Neurospora crassa OR74A: one gene and its partners. The protein of the gene in region 1 interacts with the protein of each later gene in a pairwise test. Links are inferred from orthologs where the notes say so. Each region holds a gene or a part of one and is shown in the gene's direction. Other genes may lie near its edges.

Region 1 (3,098 bases):
CGCCAATTCGCAACATGTATCTGGTTTTCCATTCTTCACTTCAACTCTACGCCGTCGCTATAGCGAAATGATGGCAGCCGAACATGCGCGCAAAGTACCACGGTAAACGACATCACATGGTATCATTGCACTTCTATATCCAAACCTATAACTAACTCCCTTCCCACTTCCTTATACGCTGAGCGTTCCCTTGGTGCTAGGAACTTCACCCTCGCGACCCGCCACCCGGCTAGTAGCCTGCCTCGTGGCAACCGCAAGCGCCTTGAATGCGCTCTCAGCTCTGTGGTGGTCGTTGTCGCCGCGGAGGCAGTCGACGTGCACGGTAATGCGGGCAGCCCCGGCAAAGCTATGGATACAGTGGGGGATCATCTCGGTGCTGAGATCGCCAATCTTCTCGCGCTTAAGACCGAGGTCGACAACGGCAAAGGGACGGTTCGACAGATCGACGACGGCACGGCTGAGGGCCTCGTCGAGAGGGCAGTATGCGGATCCGAAGCGCGCGAGGCCGGTGGGTGTGCCGAGAGCCTTGGCAAAGGCGTAACCAAGAGCGATGCAGACGTCTTCGGCGGTATGGTGGTCGTCGACTATGAGAGGGACAAAGTCAATTCAGAGTTCTGGATGTTGTTCCACGAGGACTTCTGCGCCCAAGCCAAGTGTGTCTACTAACTGTGAAGGTCGCCCTTGCAAGCAAGCGCAAGACTCCAGCCGGCATGCTTGGCAAGCGCATGGAGCATGTGGTCAAGGAAACCAATGCCGGTATTGACGCTGATAGTTTGCGATTTGCTAGCCTGAGTGGCATGGCCGTCGGCGATACTGACGTTCAAGCGGGCGTCGGTCTCGGGAGGGAATGCGCCGCCATCAAGGTTGAGTGCGATCTGGATCTTGGTCTCGTTGGTGTCGCGTGCAAAGGCGGCCCAGCGGGGCGCGGGCTGTTCGGTGCTCATTTTGTCTGAATAGGGCGTCTGAGACTTCTGGGGACTGTAGACTCTTGGGATATCACCACGGCAGTGTGATCAATTGCGATGTAAGGATGGCGACAATAAAGGTGATCTTGGAAATTTTGGCGATTTCGGAGTGCCACCAGTGAGGGAACGCACCGATAGGCAATCGATATGGAATAGGTACCTCCACTAGTGCTGCCAACCCCGCGCTTACACTAGAAGGAAACTAGAGTTTCCTGCTCGCCTGCCGATCCCCAGCTGCCAATTAGAGATTTCAAGGCAGCCCCACGGCGAGCTGACAGACCCCACTGCCCCGTAACCGCGCTCAGCAGGCGTTGATACAGTGCTATATGCACAAGCTCTAGAGGTACCTTGGATTAACCGCGATAAGATAAGGCAGGGACCAATTCCGGTCCCAAAATTTTCCCCAGAAGTCGACCGAACTGAAGCGACAGCGTACAGGATACATTCGAGAGTATTCGTACTCCATCCACCCATCCATATCCCGAACCACCATTTCATCTATCGTTGATTTCTTACGACCTTATCAACGAATCAACCACAACTCACAATGGCGCCGACAAAAACGATAAAGAACAAGCACGCTGCGAACAAATCCGGCATCAAGGGCAGCAAAGATGCGGAGAGGTCGAGGAACGATGGAGTGCTCAAGTCCAAGGGAAAGCCGAAGGGCAAAGCTCACACTCTCGTGACTGCCAGCAAGGGCCGACCGAACATCCAGGAGCTTATCGCCAGGAAGAAGAAGAAGAAGACCTACAGCGAAAAGGAGCTTGCGATTCCGGAACTCAACATGATCACCCCCGTTGGTGTGACCAAGCCAAAGGGAAAGAAGAAGGGCAAGGTGTTTGTGGATGACAAGGTAAGCTGTCTTTCGTTAGCGTCTGGGGTCATATTGGTTTTTTGTTTTCTTGCTAGGTTTCAAGACCGGAAAGCATCAAGTAACTGACATGTTTTCCCCCTTTGTACAGGAGAGCATGGCCACTATCCTAGCCATCGTACAAGCAGAAAAGGAGGGCCAGATCGAGTCCAAGATGATCAAGGCGCGACAAATGGAGGAGATCCGCGAGGCGAGACGCGCTGAAGCCGAGAAGAAGGAGGCTGAGCGCAAGGCCAGACTCGAAGAGACTAAGGACTCGCTGCGCAAGAAGCGTAAGCGCAGCAAGCAATCGGGCGGTAGCAAGGGCGACGACGACGATGACTCCAGAGATGTCAAGGAGTTCTCGTCTGCGGGCACGAAAGCCGTTAAGTCGAAAAAGAAGAAGTCGGTATCCTTCGCTGCTCCCGAATAAATAATCAAGCAAGGATGCTGGGAGCTTTGAAGGTCCCTCCTGGGAATGGGCTGGGAGAATGAAGACAGGAAGGGTGGAAGTTTGTCGTGTAATACCTACACCAAGCATTTTTTCTTCGCATGTATGGCGTCTGGGCGTTTATATCAATCAAAGTCTGGCGGCGGGTAGGATGGCTTGGCTGGGGGAACAGTTCTGACTGATTTTGTGTGTGGAAATTAAAGATACCAATTGGGCACGCCAGCCTTGGTCCAGCCTCTTTTTCTCATGAGTCGGTAGATGTTATTAGGTGAAACCGTCAGGATGGTGTAGTTCGTGGCTCGCATAAGCCATCAATGAACGTACGTTCGAACCTGTATCCAAGTCGAAAGCGCGAATCTAAGTCTATGTGCAGCCCCAATGTGCCTTGAAGCGCGTCTAGACCCTTTAGGCCCAATCGATGGACCCATCTCTATAGCTAATCTATGTACAGTCTTCGTTCTTTTCAAGTGTTCATTCCACCACCATCTATTGATCCACATCGAGAATCTGCAACTTTCGCTGCACAGGGTCGAAGTGAGTTCTGAACTGGCTATCGAACTTGTCACAAGCATCCGGCTTGATGGCGTCCAAGTCAATATCGAAAGCCATCTTGTTCAGGAAGTTGCAGATCTAGACAACAAATCAGCAAAAAGTTACCGGAAAGTGAGGCAAAAAGAAACTTACAGGACGAGTATGCCATCGTCCGCCACCAAGTTCGAACCATGAAAGATGTCCGCCGAGAGACGTGAGGCAAAGTACCGTGTAGGGGTTCTGCTTGATCTCTTGGTAGGGAATGGCCTCCTCAACAGCGATCTAGTAATTTGTCAGC
Region 2 (3,950 bases), on another chromosome or scaffold:
AGTGGAAGTTCCTGGCTCATCATCGCAAGAGGCCATCACCAAGAAAAGTGTGAAATCCCAGACGCCGCTGGGCCCTCGGCTCCGGCAATTCTCGTATCAACCAGGTAAACCCGGTGCTCGCCTTGTCAATGGTCTGCCTACACCTTCCTCAACCCAAGAGAGATCTGCTGCGGTGCGTAGATCATCGTTGAATCCAAGCTCGCCCATGTTGACTCCGTTGCAACGCATGGGAGCCCGGGCATTGAAGCAAGTTACACCCCGCGCCACGCCTCCTAGCAGCCTCCGCGCACGTAAATCAAGCAAGCCGAGCGAGGCTCTCGGCTCCGTCCAGGTGGATCCCGCCGCCATTCCGTTGCCGTTGGCCGACTTTGCTGAAGTTAGAGCCCTGAACATGTCGCTTCAGGGGAGCGAGGATCAGATTATTCCTGAGAGTGATGGAGAAACCGAATTGGGCACGGCAGCCACTCGTCCGCGACTTAACTTGGCGCAGTACCTGTATTCGTGAGCCCCCAACTCGTGCTCTCTGGAGTGTATTAGGAGAAGCCAGATATGTGGTGTGCATAGCTCTCGGCGTATCGGTAAGGAAGAAACCCCGCCTGGAAAATGGGTGGGCTTGAATTGTACTATGGTCTGTTGTAAGGAAACGAGGAAAGATCATGGGTCAGGAGTATTATCAGGCAAAGAAGGCAATCATGGAAAGAGCAGGCTGAAGTAAATGAGGAGAACTTCTATTGCCTGTTATGCGATAACATTGCCCTGATGGGCCATTCATTGATGGCCTTTGTCCAGAAGGTAGCTATATCACTTTAGTAGGAAATAAACAAACAATGGTAACCATGATGAAGGAACACTGTTGCACCTGTCAAGACACTGTCAGGAGACATGTCACCATCAGATCCAAACATAAATCCTATAGGTATACTATACACGAGGTAGACGGGAGCGTGCTAGAATAGGCAAGTATCCCTCTAACCGCGATAAGATCGATGAGTAGGTGCCAGGGCAGTTCACCGCCTTTGGCAGAATGCCAGAACCCCAAGCGTGAAAGTGTGGGGCAAGGTGCTGGGGGGCTCCACACTGCTGGGAACAATCCACTAAAATTTCACTGTAATCCACTGGCGAACAAAAATTCATCGAGACGGGAAACAGTCGCTCGACCACAGCCGACCCGCCCTCCACTGTCTCAATTTTTCCATCTGGGTTTCGTTTCGATACCTCGACATACTACCTCGACCATTATTCCGCCCGCTCGACATCACTCACAACCCCATCACAGCGAAATCCCGGATTCGACTTTCTTTGTCGCCTCAATCACCTAGGTCTCTCTATTTTAGCGACTGGCAATCAACCAGGTCGACTCGTACAAGCGAAAACCAGCGTGTGCAAAGATGGCGGATACCGATTTGCAGGTAAGCAGACCGGCGCTGGAATGCACACCACCGATACGGTGATACCCATGGGCTGGTAGTTGTGGCCAAACTGGGATGGCTAGAGTTCGACGCTGACCATGCCGTCTTGCGATTGCGAACAGGAGCGCCTGCGTTCTCACGCTCAGGCCTTTGACGGTCTACTGTCGCTGATCCCAGCCAAGATGTACTACGGCGAGGACAATAGTGTACGTTACCCCCACCCGTTGACTTAGCTCTTCATCATAAACTCAACCATTGATGTTGGTGTCAAAATGCCTTCGATCGCGTCGCTGATCCCAAGTAACCCCGCCAACAGGATCAGTGGAAGAAGAAGAAGCAAACCAAGGAGCAGGCAAAAGCTGCTAAGCGGGGGAAGCTCGATCCCGACAGTGAACTCAACCGCAACGCCAAGGAGGTCATGGAGGAGCGCGCCCGCAACAAGCGCAAGCTCCAGGAAATGGAGGAGAGCAGCACTGAAGACAGCGACATCGACGTCGAAATCCCTGGTGTTGAGAAGGAGAAGCCTCTTGAAGGACTGAAGAAGAGGGTCGTCAAAGACGACGCCGAGACAGAAGAGTCTGCGCCTAAAAAGCAGAAGCTTTCCGAGGAGGAGGAGGAGGTGGTGGAGGAGGAGGCCGTCCCCGCTGAGAAGCCCTTGAGCAAGAAGGAGCAAGAAAAGGAGGCCAAGCGTCTCGCAAAGCTGGCCAAGCAGGAGAAGAAGAAGGCCAAGCTCGAGGCGAAACTAGGCAAGGGTGGAAAGACGGAAAAGAAGGACGACACCGCCGAAGAAGCCAAGCCTTCTACCGAAGCTAACGAGGACGACGAGAACGACGATATGGCTCCCATTGATGTGTCTGGTCTCGTAACAAAGGAGGATGAGGGCGAGTCCCAGGAATCCGCTCAATCTTCTGTTTTCGACAGTCGCGACAAGGCCGGTTCCGCCGAGCCTGCCAGCGCCAACACCTCGATCTCTTCCGCCGTTCCCCCATCGGATAAGCCCAAGTTCAAGCTTCCCGCCGATACCACGGTTCTCCGCGAGCGTCTCGCCGCCAAGATTGAGCAACTCCGTGCCGCTCGCAAGGTTGAGAAGGACGACGAGGGTAAGCCCATTCGCACTAGGCAGGAACTCATCGAGATGCGCCGCGAGAAGGAGGCCAAGCGCAAGGCCCACAAGCGCGAGCAGAGACAGAAGCAGAAGGAGGAGGAGGATCGGAAGCGGTCAGAGGCTATTGCCAGCTCGCGCAACTCTCCCCTAAGCATGCTCAGCCCCAAGGACGATGTTGAAACCAACTTTGCTTTCGGACGTCTCGCCTTCTCTGATGGTGTTCAGCTTTCTCGTGACGCCGCCTTTGTCAAGTCCGACGGAACCAAGAAGAAGGGCCCCACGGACGCCAAGTCCAAGCTTGCCAAGCTTGAGGCGCAGAAGAAGCGCCTCGAGGCCTTGCCTGAAGATAAGCGCAAGGAAGTCCTTGAGAAGGAGACGTGGCTCGCTGCTCGCAAGCGTGCCGAGGGCGAGAAGGTTCACGACGACGAGCACCTGCTCAAGAAGGCTGTCAAGCGCAAGGAGAAGGCAAAGAGCAAGAGCGCCAATGAGTGGAGAGAGCGCAAGGAGGGCGTCGCCAAGGCCCAGTACGATAGGTCAAAGAAGCGCGAGGAGAACATCAAGAAGAAGCAGGACGAGAAGAAGGCCCGCAAGATGGGCATCAAGGTCAAGAGCGGCAAGGGCGGTAAGGGTGGAGGAAAAGGTGCTTCCAAGGGTAAGAGCAGGCCTGGATTCGAGGGCGGATTCGGTGGTAAGAAGAAATAAGCGTCGGATAAGGTGTTCAGCAAGGGGTGTTTTGTCTTTTTGGAGAGAGATGTTGATACCACTGCTGCTGCATAGCGGCAGATGCTCGGGAGGCTGGCATATCCTTTTCCCATTCTTCTGCCTTGTCGCTACGTACATATTTCTTGCTGGAAGGGGGTAACAGGTGGTGTTTTTGGCGTTTGTTTTTTTTCCTCATGGTTTTTCGTTTCTTTTTTCTTTGCACGGTCGGAATGGAAAAAGAGATTATATCACACGTACATATCACAACTGGACCAGATCACGACAAGCGGTTAACATGGTACGAGGCTGGGCAAGCCTTGTCTTTTGTTCTTTTATACTTAGCTAGCTTTTAGTAGTGGTGGCGAAGGGAGGAGGTAGGGGCTGGAGGTCCCCCTTCTTCTTCAGCGAGGCAGCATCTTCAGGGAGTTAAAAAGTGATTATCAGCTCACCGAGTCTTTTCTCTTTTTTTGTCCGGTGACTTGAATTGGTGATGTGAGACGCATAGCTTCCCTTTCTTGCTTGTCTGATACCGAGGCGCTCTCCGGTGTAGGCGTTAAATTCCAGCTGTGAAATGAGGTGCTGTTAGTGCTGGGTGGTCGGACTCTACTTTATTCGCAATCAAAGCACTAACACGGCGCCTGGAAGCCGACATAATTCTAGGTGATGCTACACGATTTTATCATGATCGGAGCAACCCGTGTTCCGTTCCACAAGGGAAGCTTGGAAGGGGTTAA
Region 3 (3,987 bases), on another chromosome or scaffold:
ACACCACCCCTCCTCCAACCGAAGCTCCAACTTCAACACCACATCTTCCTCTTCCTTCAGTTCCTACTACGCTCCCACGACCAAACCCAACAACCTCACAAACCCAACGGCCACAGCCCCCATTAATCGTCTCATATGGACCCAACCGAGTAACGCCCACTCCAGCTGTGACTTCGCCTACAGTGCCTCCCGACGAGTCTATGATTGAAAGACCACCTAGAGGAGTTGAATTACAAGGCGAACCCGCATCTCTGATGGAAAGGAGACATCCATGGGAGGACATTGATCTCCCGAGCGCCAGTAATAACGGTCCTTTACCACCATACGCATCGACAGAGGAGTACGCTGCAATGGAAAGCGGCGCGATCCGTAAGCTGGAGGAGCCAAGGGCGCATGCTGAGCTGCCACCAACCAAAGATGGCTACTATCATGCTACGTGGGATATTGTTGAGCACGAATTGCCAGGTGACGGATATCAACGAGACCCTCTCTACCCGCAAGCATCCGCGTCCGGACGTGGAAGGGATATCGATGAGCAGAAATTCTTGCTGGATGATGTTGAAATGGCGCATTTGAAGGCGCAGAAAGAACGAATCCGCGCTGAAATGAAGAAGAAGCAGAAGCAGAAGGAGACTTACCAGCAGGACCAGGGGCATGACCAGGACTTCCTTGGAGCGTCGGCGAGCTTCTCCACACGGTAGCACGAGTGATAATGTGGCGGTCCATGTGAAGAAAGTTACGTTGTGGGCAACTGATGTTTTGGAGGCGAAGGTTTGAGGATTAGCATTATACCATTGGCAAGGTGTCTGGCGTTCATTTTGGGTATCGACGGGGTAGATGACTCCTGTGTAGTATCATCATATAATACGGGCTGATACATCTGCGTTGAGAATAGCTGGACCATATGCCCCGCACAAGTATAAATATAGTCCTACTGTAGTAAGGACAAGGTCCTCTGGCTCTATAACATGAACGCGTATTCAATTTCTTGGGACAATGTGGTGTTGAACGAGTTGCTCCCGAAGACGGCAGGTACTCACTTGATAGTTGAGATGGTACGTACCCATCCCCGCAGCTGTCGACCAGCTGCCACTGATAAGATCCCCAGATCCTCCAATCACATTGACCGCCCGGCAGAAAAAGTTACAGACGGGCATGGTTCCCAAATTTTTGTTTTCCCTTTCGTTCTGCGGCGGAGGAAGAGACGAAAAAAGACCCCACTGACTGCTATCAGTTGTACAATCTTGACGATTCCACCAATTCCCACTCAGCATCGGGAGCTTCCCGTCGTTCTCTTTTCCAACACAACACTACAGAACAAACAACGGTCACAGACCGTTGCAACACCATCCACCACAATGGCGCCCTCCCAAAAGCGCAAAGCGATCGACGACGATTTCATCCTCACCATTTCCGACAATGAAGAAGACATCCCACTAGAAGAGGAGCAAGAAGTTGTACCCAGGAAGAAGGCCAAGACGGCCACACAACAATCGAACAAGCAAAAGAAGAAGAACAACAAGAAGTCCAAGAAACAGCAACAGACTGAAGATGACGACGACGAAGCCGAAACAAAAGAAGACGACGCCGCCGACCTCGGCATCTGGGGCGACAACGACGAAGACGACGGCGCCATGGATACCGAGTTCCAGTTCGTTGTCGACGGCCAGAACGAAGTGGACGCCGAGTTCGACGGCTGGGGTTTCGAGGGCGCGCACAAGGGTGTTGTGAAGGGCGCCAACGCGGGCGGGGACAAGAAGGCTGTGGATATCGATGAGATTATCAGAAGGAGGAGAGAGAGGAAGGCTGCTAAGGAGGGGAAAACCACGGCGACAAAAGAGGAGGAGGATAAGATGGAGGTTGATGAGGAAGAAGACGACATAGAAGAGATTGATGTGGATTTGGATGATGATGAGGATGGTGTCTTGGCTGACGATGCTTTTGGTATGGGTGTTGGGTCGGACGTGGAAGAGGAGGAGGAGAAGCAGGATGCGAAGATGGGGGGTGTTGATGGGGAGGATGAGGATAGTGAGGGTGAAGATGGGGAGAAGAAGGGAGAGGATGAAGACGAGGGCGATGCGTCGGATGATGACTCGGTTGCTACGGCCGTTGAGCATCCTGATGATGTGCAGTCATCGGATGATGAAGAGGGTATTGATGAGGAGGAGGAGGCCAAGATGAAGGAGTTCTTTGCGCCGGAGGAGGAGAATCAGCCTAAGAAGAAGGGCGAGATGTCTTCGTTCCAGGAGATGTCTCTCTCCCGTCCTATCCTTCGCGGTCTTACTTCCGTGGGCTTCACCAAGCCGACGCCCATTCAGGCCAAGACCATCCCCATTTCGCTTATGGGTAAGGATGTCGTCGGTGGTGCCGTCACCGGTTCCGGTAAGACGGCCGCCTTCGTCGTTCCCATCCTTGAGCGTCTCCTCTACCGTCCCAAGAAGGTTCCCACCACCCGCGTCGTTATTCTTACGCCCACCCGTGAGTTGGCTATCCAGTGTCACGCTGTCGCTGTCAAGCTCGCCAGCCATACCGACATCAAGTTCTGTCTGGCTGTCGGTGGTCTCAGTCTGAAGGTGCAAGAGGCCGAGCTCCGTCTTCGCCCGGATGTGGTCATTGCCACTCCTGGTCGTTTCATCGATCACATGCGCAACTCTGCCAGCTTCGCCGTCGACACCATCGAGATTCTCGTCCTCGATGAAGCCGATCGCATGCTCGAGGACGGTTTCGCGGACGAGTTGAACGAGATTCTTACCACCCTTCCCAAGTCCCGCCAGACCATGCTGTTCTCTGCCACCATGACGTCGTCTGTCGACAGGCTCATTCGCGCCGGTCTCAACAAGCCTGTGCGCATCATGGCCGATTCGCAGAAGAAGACTGCCGGTACGCTTGTTCAAGAGTTTGTCCGTCTCAGACCCGGTCGCGAATCGAAGAGGGAAGGATATCTGTTGCACATCTGCAAGACTATCTACACGGAGCGTGTCATTATCTTCTTCAGACAAAAGAAGATTGCGCACAAGATGAGGATCATCTTTGGTCTGTTTGGATTGTCGTGCGCCGAGTTGCACGGTAGCATGAACCAGGCTCAGGTATGTTTACGATTTACGATGCTCCAGATGGATGAGTGATACTAACAGGATCCATAGCGTATTCAAAGTGTCGAGGACTTCAGAGATGGAAAGGTCAACTTCCTCCTTGCCACCGATCTCGCCTCACGTGGTCTTGATATCAAGGGTGTCGACACCGTCATCAACTACGAGGCTCCCCAGACCCCCGAGATCTACGTCCATCGTGTCGGTCGTACAGCGCGTGCGGGCCGCAGCGGTACCGCTATTACCCTGGCTGCTGAGCCCGATCGCAAGGTCGTCAAGGCTGCCGTCAAGGCCGGCAAGTCTCAGGGCGCCAAGATCAGCAGTCGCATCATCGATCCCGCGGACGCCGACAAGTGGCAGGCCGAGATCGACGAGTTGGAAGATGAGATTGAGGAGATTATGCAGGAAGAGAAGGAGGAAAAGCAGCTGCAGAACATGGAGATGCAGGTCAAGAAGGGCGAGAACATGATCAAGTACGAGGACGAGATCAGCTCGAGGCCCAAGCGCACGTGGTTCGAGACGCAGGAGGACAAGAAGAAGGCCAAGGCGGCGGGCCGGGCCGAGCTCAACGGCGTCAGGGACAAGCTCAAGTCCAAGAACGAGGGCAAGTTGAGCAACAAGGACAGGAAGAAGCTCGACACCATGCAAGAGCGCAAGCAGGAGAGGACATACAAGAAGGGCAGCGCCGAGAGAGCCGGTAAGGGCGCGGTGCTGAACCTCAAGAAGGTCGTCAAGAAGGTGGGACGGTCTGCTGGGCCTAAGAAGAAGGGCGGCAATGCTGGTAAGGGTGGTAAGGGCAAGGGCAGGAGAAAGTAAATGTGAGGAGCACGATTCTGTTGTTGTTGTTGAGTTTCTAAATGTAATTGAGCTTCAAGCTAAGTCTAGTGTGCTTTTGATA
Region 4 (3,717 bases), about 180 kb from region 1:
TGCTTCATGGTGGACTCTGCACAATGGGAGCACCCACTGACAACATCCGGAGCGGTGAGGATCTTTCCTTGATGGGAATGGAAAAAACCTTTGTCAACCGGGGATATACATCCGCACACATCACACACACCATCCTTTCACATAAACGACTTTCGCTTCTTTTTGTTGGGGATAACTTCACACGGGACTACTTTTCGTCCACACGGAGCTTTCCCTCTTCAATTTTCGACACTCAGGCAACTCACCTTATCTTTCTGGACCCTTTCTCTCTTTTGTCGTTGATTCGACACCAAACACCCTTTGCGGACTGAGGACATCGCCGGCGGGAAACGATGCAGCAACTTCTCTTTGGTTCACACTCTTCGGCAAACGTCACCTGGGAGTCGGCGGACTCACACCTTCCAACCTCAACCTCTTCCATCTGCTGGGAGGGAGCTATTTCGCGACATGCTTCTCTCTTTTGTTGGGTGGGACTTGCACGGGCTTGGGTATGGCGCTTGGTTCACCACTCCTTTTTCTTTGCGCACTTTCTTGGAATTTTCTTGGATAGGACTGTAGAGGAGGGAAGTCTTCCTTTCTGTCTTGGCAGGGAGGGGGGACTCGCGGGATGAAATTTGTGGAGGGGGAGGACCATGTGGGGAGTTTTCACTGTATCTTTCTGATCTTGGTTTGCGGAGGGGAGGGATTGTGGGGGTGAGTTGGCTTGGTTGAAGGATTTGAAGAGTGTTAGTTCTTTTAATAAAAAAAAAACCCCGGTTGACACCATATCTTTGGATGCTCTCATGACCGTGACTACCTCTATGATTGTGAATTTCATTATCATCGTATGCCTCTTCGTAAGACTTTTCAGAGCAACTGACTTTAGTGATAAAGCTGTCAACTTGCAAATGGAACGCTTGATCGATCATCAAGGCAAGATACGCGGAGGAATGGCCTCGGCTCCGAGAAAATATACTACATCCCATTACATGTATCAGCTCGACGTCCCAGACATATTTCTGATCTGTTTCGGCCAGGTTAGGTTCGTGATGTTTGCGCGGGACAAGGCTCCTCCACTGAACGCGAAGTTTGATGTATCAGGAGACTCGTGTTGAATCACCTTGACACAGGCTGCGGGTAGCTTACGAGAAACTGGGCAGAGATACACAGGGCATGGTGATATACACTAGCAATCAATCTTGAGATCACCGAGAAAACGCAGTTCGGTGGGTGACCATCACCGTGACTACAGGCCCATTGTAACTCGTAACCTGAGGGTTGGGGTTTGATGTGCCAGATTCAGAGAGAGTGTGAAGGGCACTTCCAGGAGCTGGGCTGTGGATACCTCTATGCCGGGCGCCAAGCATCCACATTTGGGTCCGCCTCCGACCCACCAGGCTTATCTTATCGGGTAATGGCAGCCGCCATGTCAAAAAAAAGTTTCCAGAACTGCAAGCGCTGCCGCTTCTCGAGCTCATCATCCAAATCGATTGTACAGCAACCCCACATAATCACAATGCCGCGACAGTCCACCCGCACAAAAAAGCCGGCCACCAAGGCTCTTGAGGCTGAGAAGATCGAGAAGATTGTTGAAGAGAAGCCCCAGAAGGAGCAGAAGAAGCGTGGCAGAAAGCCCAAGCAGGTCGTCGAAGAAACCCCTGTAGAGGACAAGATGGATGTCGAGGAGGAGCAGAAGGCGGAAGAAACCACCACTCAGACCAAGGCCGACGAGAAACCAGAGCAACAGGAAGAGGCCGGTTCAGATTCTGAGGAGGGTAGTGACGACGAAGAGGACAACGATCTCGATCTTGATGCACTTGACGAATCCGATTCCGACTCAGAATTCGAGCGCGACCTGAACGAGAAGCAATCCGCCGCCGGCATCCAGGCAAACAAGTACCAGAAGGCCGCCGAGGAATCGAGCGACGAGGAGGAGGACGAGGATGAGATCGACATTGATGAGCTCGACGTCGACGGAGAAGAAGGAGAGGAAGTCAAGGCCATTTCGAGGGCGCGCCAGACAATAAACAACAAGCAAGGTCTCCTGACGGCGCTCAAGCGCTTCGCCCTCGACACAACCGACAAAGTCCCATTCGCCTTCCACCAGTCCATCGTTGCCAAGAAGGTGACGGAGGAGTCCATCCCCTCGATCGACGACGACCTGGCCCGCGAGCTGGCCTTCATGAACCAGGCGCTCGAGGCCGCCCGCGTCGGCCGCGCCCTCCTCCGCAAGGAGGGTGTCCCCTTCACCCGCCCTACCGACTACTTTGCCGAGACGCTGCGCAGCGACGAGACTATGGAGAAGGTCAAGGCCAAGCTTATCGAGGAGGCCACGGCCAAGAAGGCCTCGGCCGAGGCGCGCAAGCAGCGCGACCTCAAGAAGTTCGGCAAGCAGGTGCAGGTGGCCAAGCAACAGGAGCGTGCCAAGCAGAAGCGTGACACACTCGAAAAGATCAATCTTCTCAAGAAGAGTACGTGCCTCTCCTACCCTTCTCCTTCCCCTTCCCTTCTTAATTCCATAACAAGTTCTCTTCCTCTTCCTTCCCCTCCCCAACTTGATGATAACTGAAGCCAACTAACCTCCGCCTCCTTAAATAGAGCGCAAGGACGGCGGTGGCCCCACCGGCGCCAACGAAGCCGAAGACCTCTTTGACGTTGCCGTCGACAACGAGCTCAAGGGCGGCCCTGGCGGCAACAACAGCAAAAAGCGCGGCCGCGACGGCAAGGAGGGCGGCGGGCCCAACGCCAAGAGGCAACGGAAGGATGCCAAGTTTGGCTTCGGCGGCAAGAAGAAGTACGCCAAATCCAACGACGCCCTCTCGTCGGGCGACGTGAGCGGGTTCAGTGCGAGGAAGATGAAATCGGGCGGCCCAGCAGGCGGCAAGCCCAAGAAGTTCAAGCCTGCGCCTAGGCCTGGTAAGGCTAGGAGAAAGGCGGGGGCTGGAAAGAGGTGAAGTGAGTAAGCTTCACTGTGGCAGGAGCGAGAAGAAGCAGTGGAAGTGAAGAGCGGTGTCGATGCCATGATGGGTAATCTGTTTAGTTTCCAACCTAGTACAACAAAAGGTCAGCACGGCAGGTTGGTGACAAAGGTGGTAGTAGCGTGTATGAGTATACATCATCATGGGACCGGTCATACAACAAACATCATTGAAGGATTCAGATCAATTCAGTAGCCACTACCTTTACTTAGATACCTAAAGAGTTCTTTTCATGCCTTACAGTTTGATGGTGTTACCCGCTTGGCTCAAAGGTCCTTTTCTCATATCATTCATCTTGCAGAATGGCTATATCCGTTCACCCGAACAAACGGGTTCCTTACTTTCACCTTCATTCAAAGGCCCCCGATGTCGGCTCGTGAACAAAAACAAATCTCGGTCACTACAGTTTGTGAGAGTATCATCCTGTCACGGACGAGCCGCGCAAGGGCCATCGCTACTTTAAGACTAGGTACTTCAGATACACTAATACACGAGACATCCCCCTTTCACTCCTCGAACCCGCATGGTAAGGGGTTTGATGCGCAACACCATCGTAACGCCTGCTTGCTGCTATTCATCGAGACGAGCCTAAACCCAAACCCAGATTCAGACCCAAATAGACCTGGGAAGACCCATAACCACCAACGCCAGACATAGACCCGCCTTTCCTGAAGCTACAAGCAAATAGAAGAAAGAAACAACAACACAAAGAGCGGCTCATCCAATTCAACCCCACCGCTGTGTGGGATTAGGACGAAAA
Region 5 (3,449 bases), about 900 kb from region 1:
TCGTGTGTCCAAGTAGTACGTACATAAGTACTGAGAGGTATACCTCCTCGCCGCTACCACTCCCCACATCCCGCTCGACATGTATCCAACTACCCCCTCATTTCGACTAAACCTCATGGCTAACGAAGTCTACGCCTAGACTTAACAGGAAGGTGACTATCCCAAGCATGGCCCCCCTCATCAAGTTCTGAATATCTCCATGTTGCATTGAGGTTGGATGGGGTTGAAGAAGGAGGGGGAGGTGGGTAAGATGTTGAGTTCTGCTGCGAACTATGGGCTGGGCGTTTGAAGAGAGAGGAGTTGGGGAAGAAAAAGCAAGACCTCGGTCGCTGTCTAGGTACTTGTATAGGCAAACGTCTAGAACACCATGAAAGACAATTGGCTGGCCACTACAGTACACCTATGTATGTCGAACGGCTTCCCATTCTGCGCAGTGTTCTTCCGGGCTCTGATGGGCATTGGCCGGCATGTAGCAGGGTGATGATGACCGAGGCACTTGAAATGAACATGTCAACAGTTAGGTCGCATACTACCGAATGTCTTTGGAAGTACAAGGCTGACATTTGAAGGCGGGTTGGATTTGAATAAAAAAGAAATGAAATTTCAGGCATGACCCGCGTGCCTGCGTCGAATGGATAGTGGCGGGGGCCATGGAGGGTGTTTTGGGGATGGGATGAGACGGGAATCAAGTTGCCCTACCGGAAAACTTGCAAAGTGCGTAGCTAGTTATTTAGCAATGATTACAAGTCTGTTCATATCTCCAATGGGTAATGATCATGGTGACAATGGTGAGGTGGTGACTGGCGCGGCCGCTGGCGCCTCACCAGTTGCGAGCAGAACAAGAAGCCGCGGCTATGATGGCCGTGAAAGTTAGGGTCCAATTCCGAGGAAATAGTCGTTAGGTAAGTTGCCATCATCACCCTTGGGAGAAGGATTGTTGATGAACGAACTGGTGACGGCAATAAAGGCAAGCAAGATACAAGAGGATTAGAAACGGAACCTGAGGAAGCGGTATTTATGTACGTGCTTACATACAATACACCACTTACACTACCTAGGTACACACTTACGCAGTAGGGACTGTATCTTTATTACGGCCCTCTTGCCAGCTGGCGACTGGACTGAGGGAACGTACCCAAGCTTGCCAAGTAACGAACAACCTGTAAGGTCGATAAGGGACAACAGCCCCACTATAATTCTCTTATCGGACAGGAGCCATTGCAGTTCCAGTTCAATCGAGTTCTCTGGGGTGGTTTCCCCCGAAATTTTGGTCAACTTCCGCCTTCGTTGTTGTTGTCGCCGTCATCGTTCTTTGCTGGTTTACTCCCATTTCGCCTTCTTCTTCCCAGCATCTTTTGGCAGTCGAACTCCTGTCCTTTCAGCAACACCACATAGTACCTACTTCCCGAAAACCACAGCAACAATGGGCAGAGAACTTCAGAAGCGCAAGAAGCGCTCGTCTCGCGCCAAGGTCCAGACGCATACCATCAAGAAGAAGGTCTTGAACCCCCAGGGCAGCGGCATCGTTGCCAAGGCCTGGTAAGTACCTTTCTCTTCTTTTTGTTGCCAGATATTCGAGAGGAGATTCAGTACTGACATGCAAAAATTGATGTACTACAGGAACAAGAAGGAGACCCTCTCACAAAACTACTCCCGCTTCGGTCTCGTCGCCAAGCTCGGCACCGCCGCCGGCGGCATGGCCAAGAAGTCCGCCGCCGCCAACTACGCCGGCATCACCAAGGATGATCCTTTGGCCGTCAAGTCGGCCGATCGCGGCCTGTTCGAGGTCCGCGAGGTCAAGGTCGAGCGTGACGCCTCGGGCAAGATCGTCAAGGTCCTGCGCTCGGACAACCCGCTCAACGACCCGCTCAACGAGATCGAGTCCGACTCCGAATCCGAGGAACCCAAGCCCAAGAACCCAACCCATGATATCGAATGGCACGGCATCAGCGACGACCGCCAGGAGATGATTGCCCAGAGCAGCCGGCCCGAGGTGGTCCGGATGCTCGAGGAGGAGGCGTCGCGCCCTGTGGAGAAGACGGTGCGCTACCAGAGCGAGCGCGAGCTAGAATGGCTGCAGCGACTAGTGGCTAAGCACGGCGACGATGTAGCTGCCATGGTGCGCGACATCAAGTTAAACCCGATGCAGCAGACCAAGGGCGACATTACCAAGCGGTTGAGGAAGGCTGGCTTGTTGCAGTAAAGAAGCGGACGAAGAAACGAGGGAGGGGAAGAAGGGGGCAAATTGCATGCGCGAGTGTGATGTGAACTTCATCATCACTGGAATGTGACTGCTTCTTGCAAGGGGATGTTCTTGGGATCACCGGTGAGCTCGGTTTGTGGTCTGAAGATAAGGGTAGAGATGAGGGAGCCTGGCGACAAATGCCCGGACCCATGTCCAGTCTCGTCCTGTAAGCTGGGCTACGAGAGTCGGCGGGAGGGAGAAAGAGCGACCCAACACGGCTGATCCTTCAGCCGAGATGGCTCTGCTCGACAGGTCTCGAAAGAAGAGAGCAACGGATTTTGTCTTTCTCTCTTTGTCTCTCTTTCTCTCTCAGACTGGTATAATGCCAGTTAGACTCTCCCCGCTGTCGCCTCATCATACTTCGCTTCAGGGGGCGACCCTCTCGTGGAATGGGGAACTGGCAAAGAAACAGGTGACGGAGCTACTTCGGCTCGCGCTCCCTTGCTCAACGGTAATGAGCAAAAGCAAAACGGATGATGGGACGGGAACCAGGATTTCTTGTGCAGCATACATACTATTCATTAAGGCCACGGGCGTTTTAGGCGTTTCTCAAAGTACATGAAAAGAATTAGGGCCATTGAGCCATCCACATATATCGTATCATATCTTGTTTGTCACCTAGAATCATGTTCTACGTAGATCTCCACAAATATGGGAGAGTTTAATAAGAATGACACAGATACAAAGCATTCCATGAAGCCGATATGAGAGCTTTGTGATTCATTGTTGATGCACGAAGATATCTCTCTCGTTTCTATGCATGATAAACCAACAAGGACCTGTGACGCCTCGCCAACGACACCCCATAAAACAAAGCCTACACACATACATACACAAGAAAAAGCCCAAAATGTTTCGTCTAGTGCCAGCCAGCCCCCAATAACAAAAAAAAAGAAAGCAGGTAGCCAAGACACTTTGTACATGACCTAAGCATGCTGCAGCGTATAGCTACCCGGTATTGCATCCGCTTCCAGATCCAAAGTCGATCAGTCCAGCTCATCCATATCCCTTGACTTGAATTCTCGACCCTTCTGTTTTTTTTAATCCCATTCTTACACATTCCCCCGTTCGATTCCTACTCGGCCGTAGGGCGCAGTGGGAAACCTTGCCGATGGCTCATCCTCGTAGTCCCCATCATGCACACTAGGCGGCGCGTACCTGCTGCCGCCGCCGACGGAGGATTGATAATCGTTATCGTTGTCAA
Region 6 (3,750 bases), on another chromosome or scaffold:
AGCCGTACCCACGGAGGACGCCAAGAAGTTTGCCGGTACGTTGCGCGTCACAGCCATGATGACATGGTCGCTTGGGAAAGCCGTATCGCCAGGATGACTGACAGAGAGAACTGCAGAGGAAAACCACCTATCCTTTATCGAGACTTCGGCTCTCGACGCCACAAACGTCGAGCTTGCGTTCCAAAACATTTTGACTGGTAACGTTTGCCCAAAGCCTACAGCTGCTGCTCTGGCGCGAGCCTACCGCTAACATGCGATCATTTATCTAGAAATCTACAAGATCGTGTCGACCAAGAACTTCGACAACGGCCCCAGCGGGTCCAACGAGGGCCACCAAAACCTGTCTGGCCAGAGCATCTCGCTCAGTCAGACCGCGAACGACCCCCAGGCGAAGTCTGGCTGCTGTTAGGAGGTGCTTGATTCTCCGGGCCGGGAACCGAGTGGCCCTGAAGGGTTGAGGTGCAGGGTGCAGCAGAGTACAACAGGGTGCCGAACCAACAACGGCGTCACATATGTCTGACATGAAGCAATGGAGGCTTATGATGAGCAATGAAGAGCAGCATCGGGGGAAAAGTACGGACGGATCCTGCCCAGTCTTATTACATCACGGTCGCCGATGGGATGGTCTGTTTTTCTTTTTCTCTCTATTTTTTTGGGCTTTTGGGGAGGGGGGAAAGGATCATGATGCTCGTCTTCCAGCCTTTCCTTTTTGTTGTTATTACTACTACTACCCCTTTCTTCCCTTTTCCCCCCGTGCTGGTCGTTGGAATTTTCCTCAATGTGGTTAACGAAGCCATCACTTGCGCATGGATTACGAAAGATATTATTTAGTTGAAATGAACTATGGGCGATAAACAGCCCTTAACTCAACCTGGTACATATTGCTCCACGTTGTCAAGGTCTCCATCTATTGCATCCACAATGTGGGAGAAGAGGAGTACCTCGAGAGTGAGTACCTATGTAGCGATAATCGTGCAGGATCTCGTTATGACATTCAAGTTGATTATGTGCGACAGCGGGAAACAGTCAATACAAATTAAGACATCTGGGCTTGCCTGATGGATTATGGCGACTGTCCCTCATTACTCCCATCGCGTCACCCGAGGCGGTTGAAGTGGGTTTGAGTGCGGACAAGAGGCCAGTCCCGTCCCATCCCCCACTGTAGGGCAGACAAGAAGAACGCGTGGAACTTGGACAGTGTGTGTAGGCAATGGAATCCCCAGAACTTGGGGGTCCGGATTCCAGGTTGGGTCCATCAGTGGGACAAATGCGGGTTGCCCAGACCGCCGACCGCCTTTCAGCTGTTCCAAGCAGGGGGGCCGGAACAGGGACGCTAGTAAGATAAGAGAAGCTTATCGGAGTGGGGCTGCGATTGGCCGGCGAACTTTTTTTGAGATGGAACAGCCTGCACTCCATCACTGCGCTTCGCCCGCGACGTTCGTGGATTGGAGCATTGAATTCACCTTTGCAATCCGCATTCCGTTTTTCTGCCATCACTTCCACCACAACCACCACCAACTTCAGTCACCCTTGTTTTTCGCCCGATTTTGATACCCAAAGAACGACAAGAACAAAAAGAAAATGGCCGCCGTTTACAAGTCGCTCTCGAAGAGCGCCAAGAAGGTCGAGGACACGGAGAACGACAACAACACCACCACCACCAATGGCGGCTTTCGGAAGAACAAGCAGAGAGTTCTGATTCTCTCGTCCAGAGGCGTTACCTACAGGTACATATAGACCCTGCATACCTGCAAGATGGAAGAAGAAAGGGTCAATTGCTAACCGCCTTTGCGCCCCGAGTACAGACACAGACATCTCCTCAACGATCTCGCAGCGATGCTCCCCCACGGCCGCAAAGACGTCAAGTTCGATTCCAAGTCCAAGCTGTACCAACTGAACGAGCTTGCCGAGCTCTACAACTGCAACAACGTCATGTTCTTCGAGGCGCGCAAGGGCAAGGATCTGTACATGTGGTTTAGCAAGGTTCCTAACGGCCCTACGGTCAAGTTCCACGCCCAAAACTGTGAGCACTATCCATATCCGAGATACGCATTGTGAAAGAGGAAAAATCGGGTTCTAACAAAAAGCACAGTGCACACCATGGAAGAGCTTCACTTCACGGGTAACTGCCTCAAGGGCTCGAGGCCACTCCTCTCCTTCGACCTCGCCTTCGAGCAAGAGCCGCACTACCGCGTCATCAAGGAGGTGTTTCTGCAAATGTTTGGCGTCCCCCAGGGCGCGCGCAAGTCAAAACCGTTTATCGACCACGTCATGAGCTTCAGCATTGCCGACGGCAAGATCTGGGTACGCAACTACGAGATCCGAGAAGTGGAGAAGGCCAAGGGCGAGAAGGACAGCGAAGGAAACGACATTGTCCCCGAGAGCGACAAGTCATCATCGAAAAAGAGAAAGGGCGCGCCCAACGCGGAGCTCAAGGACACAGACGTCAGTCTGGTTGAGATCGGACCTCGGTTCGTCCTAACGCCCATCATCATACAGGAGGGCGCGTTCGGCGGCCCCATTATTTACGAGAACAAGCGCTTTATCTCCCCCAACCAGGTGCGCTCGGAGCTGCGCAAGGCCAAGGCGACCAGGCACAACACCAGGGTGGAGCAGGTCAAGGAGAGGCTCGGCAAGCTCGAGACCCTCACGGCCCAGGCGAAGAAGGAGAAGGATGTCTTGGATACCCGGGAGCTCTTTGCTTAGAGAAAGGAGGAGGAGGGGAAAGAGAGAGAGAGAGCTTTTCACAACACGATTTCATCACGTCTGTTCGCTTGCGACACATCAAAGCAACGCACGCCTTAGGTTTAGGGGTAATCAAGGAGTTTTTTGTACTTTTGCTGGCTGGCTGGTTTGGTCTGGTTCGGGAAAAAGAAAGGAAATCGATTTGCATTGTACAACATTACAGTATTCGTGGGGATGTGTGAGACGGACGAGCTGTCCTCTTTTGACAGTTGGGAAAGAGGATCATGATCGAGTGGTAGATGAGCACTCAGCGTATAAGGTGCTGGCTCGAAAACGGACACATCAGATCAAGATTGAGTGATGAACGCCGTCCTGGCTCCGGTCTTGGTCGTGTTGAAAGGAGATGGTCAAAGAAGGGTAGGAGAGCAAGTACTTTGCTCGGCACCTCACTAGCGGTTGACTGTCTATAACCACACTCCTGAGGGAGATGTTGTTCGCATAGGACCTAGACTCTACCTTAAATGCAGTTGCGCTGTGAGATATTGTCTCACATTTTTGCTCCATGATTTGGGTTGTTTCCATATATATAAGAGACACGAGGTGTCTCTTTCGTTGAGTTGTTGGGATGATATCACCACCTTCAGTACACTCCTCAAGGAGAAGAAGAAGAAAAAGTACCATGTTTTGTCCCAAGGTAGCTTTGGGCGACATCGTCCCAAATTTCAGATTTTCTGACGGACTAGCCATCTTCTCAGGGGCTTTGGGTCGTCTAAGTCATGTAGTGTGCCTGGGAGTTGGCGCGAGTTTGGTGCTTCTTGAAAACAAGAGATAAGGACTGGAGCCGATACCTAGGACGTCGCTCCTTAAAGCGAAAGACAAATGGCTTGAGTCTAATGTTGAACACGTATGGCTAACGCTTTTGATCAAAATTTAGAAGCAAAAAAAACGACTCGGAGTACTTTGGTCATGACTCAGGTTCACTCATCGATATCGGAGGAGAGAGTTGAGGATAGGTTGTAGAGGGTTCACTTCACTCATTGTGAAAGTTCGCTACAGGGGACCTGT
Region 7 (4,091 bases), on another chromosome or scaffold:
ACAATCCCTATCCTTCTTCTTCTTCTTTTCTTTCTTCATCTTCTTCTTCTTGTAGAGTGTCAGCCACAGGTTTGATGTTGTGGCTATGGTCAGAGGGTACTGGGCGAACAAACCTGTGATATACATGTTACTAGTTTATCAGAGAATCCAACTCCAGCGTTTAGTCGGTAGCCTTGTACTTGGCGCGGTATTCCTCCGTCTTCTCGACGTCCTCAGGGGAGGCAAGACCCCTCATGCCCTCAATGATGTCGTCCAGAGTAAGGATGGCAAAGATGGGAATGCCGTACTCCTTGCGGAGCTCGCCCATAGCACTGGGGCCGGGCTTGCTATCGTCACCATCAGCGGCAGGGAGCTTCTCCATGCGATCAAGAGCAACGACGATGCCAGCGACAATGCCGCCCTCCTTCTCGATCTTGGCGATAGCCTCACGCTTAGCAGTGCCAGCAGTGATGACATCGTCAACGATGAGGATCCTCTTGCCCTTCAGAGGGGCGCCAACAATGTTGCCTCCCTCGCCATGGTCCTTGGCCTCCTTGCGGTCGAAAGAGTAGCAGATCTTGCCGTAGGTCTCGGGGTCAAGCTGGGCAAGCTTGTCGGTGGCAGCAGTAGCGAGGGGAATGCCCTTGTAGGCGGGGCCGAAAACAATGTCAAAGTCCAATTGGCCGCTCTTGTGAGCCTCGATAATGCACTTGGCGTAGGCAGTGGAGATGGCCTGGAGAAGGTCGGCACGGTAGAAGTCGCCGGCGTTGAAGAAGTAGGGGGAAATGCGCTTGGACTTGAGCTCGAAGCTGCCGAACTTGAGGACGCCGCCGTCGATGGAGGCCTTGAGGAAGTCAGCCTTGTAAGGCGAGAGAGCGGCCATTGTGCTGGTACGTAGTGTTTGTAGGATTGGAATTGAAGCTGAAAGAAGAAGAAGAGATTTCAGAAGAACAGCGTTGACGTCTGTCTGCCTGGCAACTGAATAGCTGGAGGAACCTGGGGAAAATTGAGAAAATGGAGGGAGGGGCCGAAGGAAGGGTTCAGTTCCTGGCGGCGTCACACGCGGCAGTCTTTCAACCGAGTCAATCAGATGGTGGGTTACGAGTGGGCCACCTAGTTCCAGGAGCCAGGCCCGCGAAAGCCCGGTCATCGGCCACTTGGGCGCGGTGGGGTCCCTGAAAAAATGTGGGGTTAGAAAATCCTAAATTCCACACTAGCCGAATCCTTAAGCACCCCTTGGCAGCATGTCTTGGCAGCGCACACTACCTCTAGGTTCAATCCACTTTGGCACTCTGCTGTTATCTTATCGATTGGAGCAGCCGCTGGAAAAATATTTCGAAGTAGACTTTCCATTTGGCAGCGCAGCGCCTCCCCGTCGCCCTCCAACACCGCCCCCTCCCCCCGCAGCCGGTCTCTATCCTTCAGACCGTCCGTCCGACCTCATTGTCCTGCACTTCCAGTCCGAGATCTTCTCACCAGCAAGTGCTTGACATCTATACCCGAAATGACGTGGAAGGACATTGCCCCTGTGCCTACGTAAGGACATCTTGGTTGTTGTGTTGTTGTTTGGCATCGCTAACTCGCTTCTACAGGGCACAGGAATTCATCGACATCATCCTCTCGTAAGTCGACATCGGCAGCCCCCAACCACGACGATGCGAAGTCTTCGAGTTCGAGTCCAATGGCTTGGCCACGGTGGTGAAGGATATTAACTGTTCAACAGGAGGACACAGCGTCGCTTGCCGACTCAGAGTATGTTGTACAATGTGGAAAATTACGTGAAGCATGGCATGATCGCTAACCTTTACTTTGAATAGTTCGTGCTGGTTTCAAGAGTATGTCGTCTCGATATCCGATACTTTGTATGAGAATTCGAATAGATCATTGACACGCGACACCGAACAGTCAGCAGAATTAGAGCCTTCTACACCCGTAAGGTCAAGTTCACACAGGAAACATGCAGCGAAAAGTTCGGCGCCATCGTCTCGAGCTTCCCCATCCTCGCCGACCAGCATCCTTTCCACCGCGATTTGATGAACATTCTCTACGGTACGAATCCCGCGCTTCCCTGCGACAGGCGGTTTCAGCAACAGCGGGTTGTGAACCGCGCCTGGTCTTGTTGGGAATAGTGGCTGACAAGGTGATGGATAGATGCCGACCACTTCAAGGTTGCCCTTGGTCAGGTCTCGACCGCCAAGCACTTGATCGAGACCATCTCTCGTGATTACGTCCGTCTCCTCAAGTACTCGCAAAGTTTGTACCAGTGCAAGCAGTTGAAGAGAGCCGCCCTCGGTCGTATGGCCACCCTCATCAAGCGTCTGAAAGACCCTCTCGCCTACCTCGACCAGGTCCGCCAGCATTTGGCCAGATTGCCCGATATCAACCCTACCACCCGTACCCTCCTCGTTGCCGGCTTCCCCAACGTCGGCAAGTCTTCGTTCGTGCGCTCCGTCACCCGCGCTGATACCCCTGTCGAGCCCTATGCTTTCACCACCAAGAGCTTGTTCGTCGGCCACCTCGACTACAAGTACCTCCGTTACCAGGTCATCGATACCCCTGGTATTCTCGACCACCCTCTCGAAGAGATGAACACCATCGAAATGCAGTCAGTTACTGCCCTTGCCCATCTCAGAGCCGCCGTCATGTTCTTCATCGATATCTCGGAGCAGTGCGGTTACTCGCTCAAGGCCCAGTGCAACTTGTTTAGGTCCATCAAGCCCCTTTTCGAGAACAAGATGGTCTACGTTGTCCTGAACAAGATGGATATCAAGACCGTTGAGGACCTCGACCCCGAATCCCAGGCCGATCTCATGGACCTTACCAAGTCCGGCAACATTCAGCTTTTGCGCGCCTCTTGCGCTACTCAGGACGGTGTCCAGGAAGTCAAGAACACCGTTTGCGAGGCTCTCCTCGTTGAGCGTGTCAACCAGAAGTACAAGGCCGGTACCAGCAGCAACGGCACCATGGGCTCCCGTCTCACCGAGGTCATGTCCCGTATTCACGTCGCCCAGCCCGCCGATGGTGTTCTCCGCGAGACCTTCATTCCCGAGGCCGTCAAGGGTCTCAAGAAGTACGACAAGGCCGACCCCGAGAGGAAACTTCTCGCCAGGGATATCGAGGAGCAGAACGGTGGTGCTGGTGTCTTCAACGTCGATCTCAGGGAGAACTGGATCTTGGCCAACCCCGAGTGGAAGTACGACAAGATTCCCGAGGTCAGTATCTCTCGCATTCCGTCTCCCCCAAATTAAACCCGGTTACTAACATGTCACGCTTTGACGAACAGATTGTCGACGGCAAGAACGTCTACGACTTCATCGACCCCGATATCGAGGCCAAGCTGGCCGCTCTCGAAGAGGAAGAGGAGCGTCTCGAGAAGGAGGGCTTCTACAAGTCGGACTCGGACCTCGGCGACGAGTCGGAGGAGGAGATCCTGCAAAAGGCCGAGTACATCCGCGAGAAGCACAAGCTGATCCGCAACGAGGCCAAGATGAAGAAGTCGCTCAAGAACCGCGCCATAATCCCCCGGAAAATGCAGAAGAAGTCGTTCGCCCAGCTCGAGGACCACATCGACCAGCTCGGCGTCGACACCGAGGAGATCAACCTGCGCGGCCGTGCCCAGGTGCGCGAGCCCACTCGCGGCCGCTCGCTGGCCCGCAGCCGCAACGCCACCGAGGACCCCGACGCCATGGAGGTGGACACGCCCAAGAGCGCCGCCGAGCGTCTTCGCTCTCAGAGCCGTCCGGCCCAGCGTGGCCAGGGCGCGACAAACAGGCGCGACGACGGTGTTACTGGTGGTGTGGGCATGGACGGGGAGACAGCCCGCTCCAAGGCCGAGAGGGTGGCCAAGCTCGGCCAGCGCAAGATGAACAGGATGGCCAGAGCCGGCGAGGCCGACAGGCATATTGGTGCTACCATGCCCAAGCATTTGGTACGTCTTTTTTCTTTTCTTTTCCCCTTCCTTCAATCCCCCTTTTCTCTTTTCTCTTTTCATTCCTAAACTAACCACACATGTTTTCTATAGTTCTCCGGCAAGCGTACCGTCGGCAAGACACAGCGTCGTTAATTTGGATCGATGATCCATATATGTTTGGGTTGGGTTGGGTTGGGTGTGT

What was found.
Region 2: the proteins of NCU01301 (region 1) and NCU06090 interact in binary tests that used the Saccharomyces cerevisiae proteins (3 or more experiments, as listed by UniProt). The link is inferred for Neurospora crassa OR74A from reciprocal best matches to the Saccharomyces cerevisiae genes LOC1 and RRP14.
Region 3: the proteins of NCU01301 (region 1) and NCU11175 interact in binary tests that used the Saccharomyces cerevisiae proteins (3 or more experiments, as listed by UniProt). The link is inferred for Neurospora crassa OR74A from reciprocal best matches to the Saccharomyces cerevisiae genes LOC1 and DRS1.
Region 4: the proteins of NCU01301 (region 1) and NCU01257 interact in binary tests that used the Saccharomyces cerevisiae proteins (3 or more experiments, as listed by UniProt). The link is inferred for Neurospora crassa OR74A from reciprocal best matches to the Saccharomyces cerevisiae genes LOC1 and EBP2.
Region 5: the proteins of NCU01301 (region 1) and NCU09528 interact in binary tests that used the Saccharomyces cerevisiae proteins (3 or more experiments, as listed by UniProt). The link is inferred for Neurospora crassa OR74A from reciprocal best matches to the Saccharomyces cerevisiae genes LOC1 and NOP16.
Region 6: the proteins of NCU01301 (region 1) and NCU01524 interact in binary tests that used the Saccharomyces cerevisiae proteins (3 or more experiments, as listed by UniProt). The link is inferred for Neurospora crassa OR74A from reciprocal best matches to the Saccharomyces cerevisiae genes LOC1 and BRX1.
Region 7: the proteins of NCU01301 (region 1) and NCU05289 interact in binary tests that used the Saccharomyces cerevisiae proteins (3 or more experiments, as listed by UniProt). The link is inferred for Neurospora crassa OR74A from reciprocal best matches to the Saccharomyces cerevisiae genes LOC1 and NOG1.

The regions. Positions count from the first base shown.
Region 1 is NC_026505.1:3,571,684-3,574,781, forward strand, and holds NCU01301 (60S ribosomal subunit assembly/export protein loc-1), read left to right. Parts: upstream 1-1,383; 5' UTR 1,384-1,512; coding exon 1,513-1,821; intron 1,822-1,930; coding exon 1,931-2,251; 3' UTR 2,252-2,598; downstream 2,599-3,098. Other genes in the region: NCU01300 (imidazoleglycerol-phosphate dehydratase), read right to left, coding at 172-584, 668-944; NCU01302 (hydrolase), read right to left, coding at 2,756-2,899, 2,954-3,082. UniProt on the Saccharomyces cerevisiae protein: Required for efficient assembly and nuclear export of the 60S ribosomal subunit. Involved in asymmetric localization of ASH1 mRNA.
Region 2 is NC_026507.1:1,847,947-1,851,896, reverse strand, and holds NCU06090 (hypothetical protein), read left to right. Parts: upstream 1-1,150; 5' UTR 1,151-1,388; coding exon 1,389-1,409; intron 1,410-1,531; coding exon 1,532-1,615; intron 1,616-1,725; coding exon 1,726-3,216; 3' UTR 3,217-3,669; downstream 3,670-3,950. Other genes in the region: NCU06089 (exonuclease), read left to right, coding at 1-505. UniProt on the Saccharomyces cerevisiae protein: Involved in ribosome biogenesis and cell polarity. Required for the synthesis of both 40S and 60S ribosomal subunits and may also play some direct role in correct positioning of the mitotic spindle during mitosis.
Region 3 is NC_026503.1:3,110,186-3,114,172, forward strand, and holds the start of NCU11175 (ATP-dependent RNA helicase drs-1), read left to right. Parts: upstream 1-1,187; 5' UTR 1,188-1,358; coding exon 1,359-3,086; intron 3,087-3,143; coding exon 3,144-3,905; 3' UTR 3,906-3,987. Other genes in the region: NCU00234 (hypothetical protein), read left to right, coding at 1-701. UniProt on the Saccharomyces cerevisiae protein: ATP-binding RNA helicase involved in ribosome assembly.
Region 4 is NC_026505.1:3,393,320-3,397,036, reverse strand, and holds NCU01257 (hypothetical protein), read left to right. Parts: upstream 1-1,439; 5' UTR 1,440-1,495; coding exon 1,496-2,450; intron 2,451-2,577; coding exon 2,578-2,933; 3' UTR 2,934-3,217; downstream 3,218-3,717. UniProt on the Saccharomyces cerevisiae protein: Required for the processing of the 27S pre-rRNA. Probably involved in the step of the processing of the 27 SA precursor into the 27 SB intermediate.
Region 5 is NC_026505.1:4,474,525-4,477,973, reverse strand, and holds NCU09528 (nucleolar protein 16), read left to right. Parts: upstream 1-1,254; 5' UTR 1,255-1,423; coding exon 1,424-1,539; intron 1,540-1,620; coding exon 1,621-2,203; 3' UTR 2,204-2,949; downstream 2,950-3,449. Other genes in the region: NCU09527 (hypothetical protein), read right to left, coding at 3,298-3,449. UniProt on the Saccharomyces cerevisiae protein: Involved in the biogenesis of the 60S ribosomal subunit.
Region 6 is NC_026502.1:3,192,924-3,196,673, reverse strand, and holds NCU01524 (ribosome biogenesis protein BRX1), read left to right. Parts: upstream 1-1,430; 5' UTR 1,431-1,581; coding exon 1,582-1,727; intron 1,728-1,805; coding exon 1,806-2,023; intron 2,024-2,092; coding exon 2,093-2,706; 3' UTR 2,707-3,250; downstream 3,251-3,750. Other genes in the region: NCU01523 (GTP-binding protein ypt3), read left to right, coding at 1-35, 117-197, 270-409. UniProt on the Saccharomyces cerevisiae protein: Required for biogenesis of the 60S ribosomal subunit.
Region 7 is NC_026504.1:5,445,564-5,449,654, forward strand, and holds the start of NCU05289 (nucleolar GTP-binding protein 1), read left to right. Parts: upstream 1-1,291; 5' UTR 1,292-1,483; coding exon 1,484-1,515; intron 1,516-1,571; coding exon 1,572-1,601; intron 1,602-1,702; coding exon 1,703-1,731; intron 1,732-1,796; coding exon 1,797-1,814; intron 1,815-1,884; coding exon 1,885-2,028; intron 2,029-2,130; coding exon 2,131-3,191; intron 3,192-3,262; coding exon 3,263-3,907; intron 3,908-4,000; coding exon 4,001-4,042; 3' UTR 4,043-4,091. Other genes in the region: NCU05290 (orotate phosphoribosyltransferase), read right to left, coding at 161-862. UniProt on the Saccharomyces cerevisiae protein: Involved in the biogenesis of the 60S ribosomal subunit.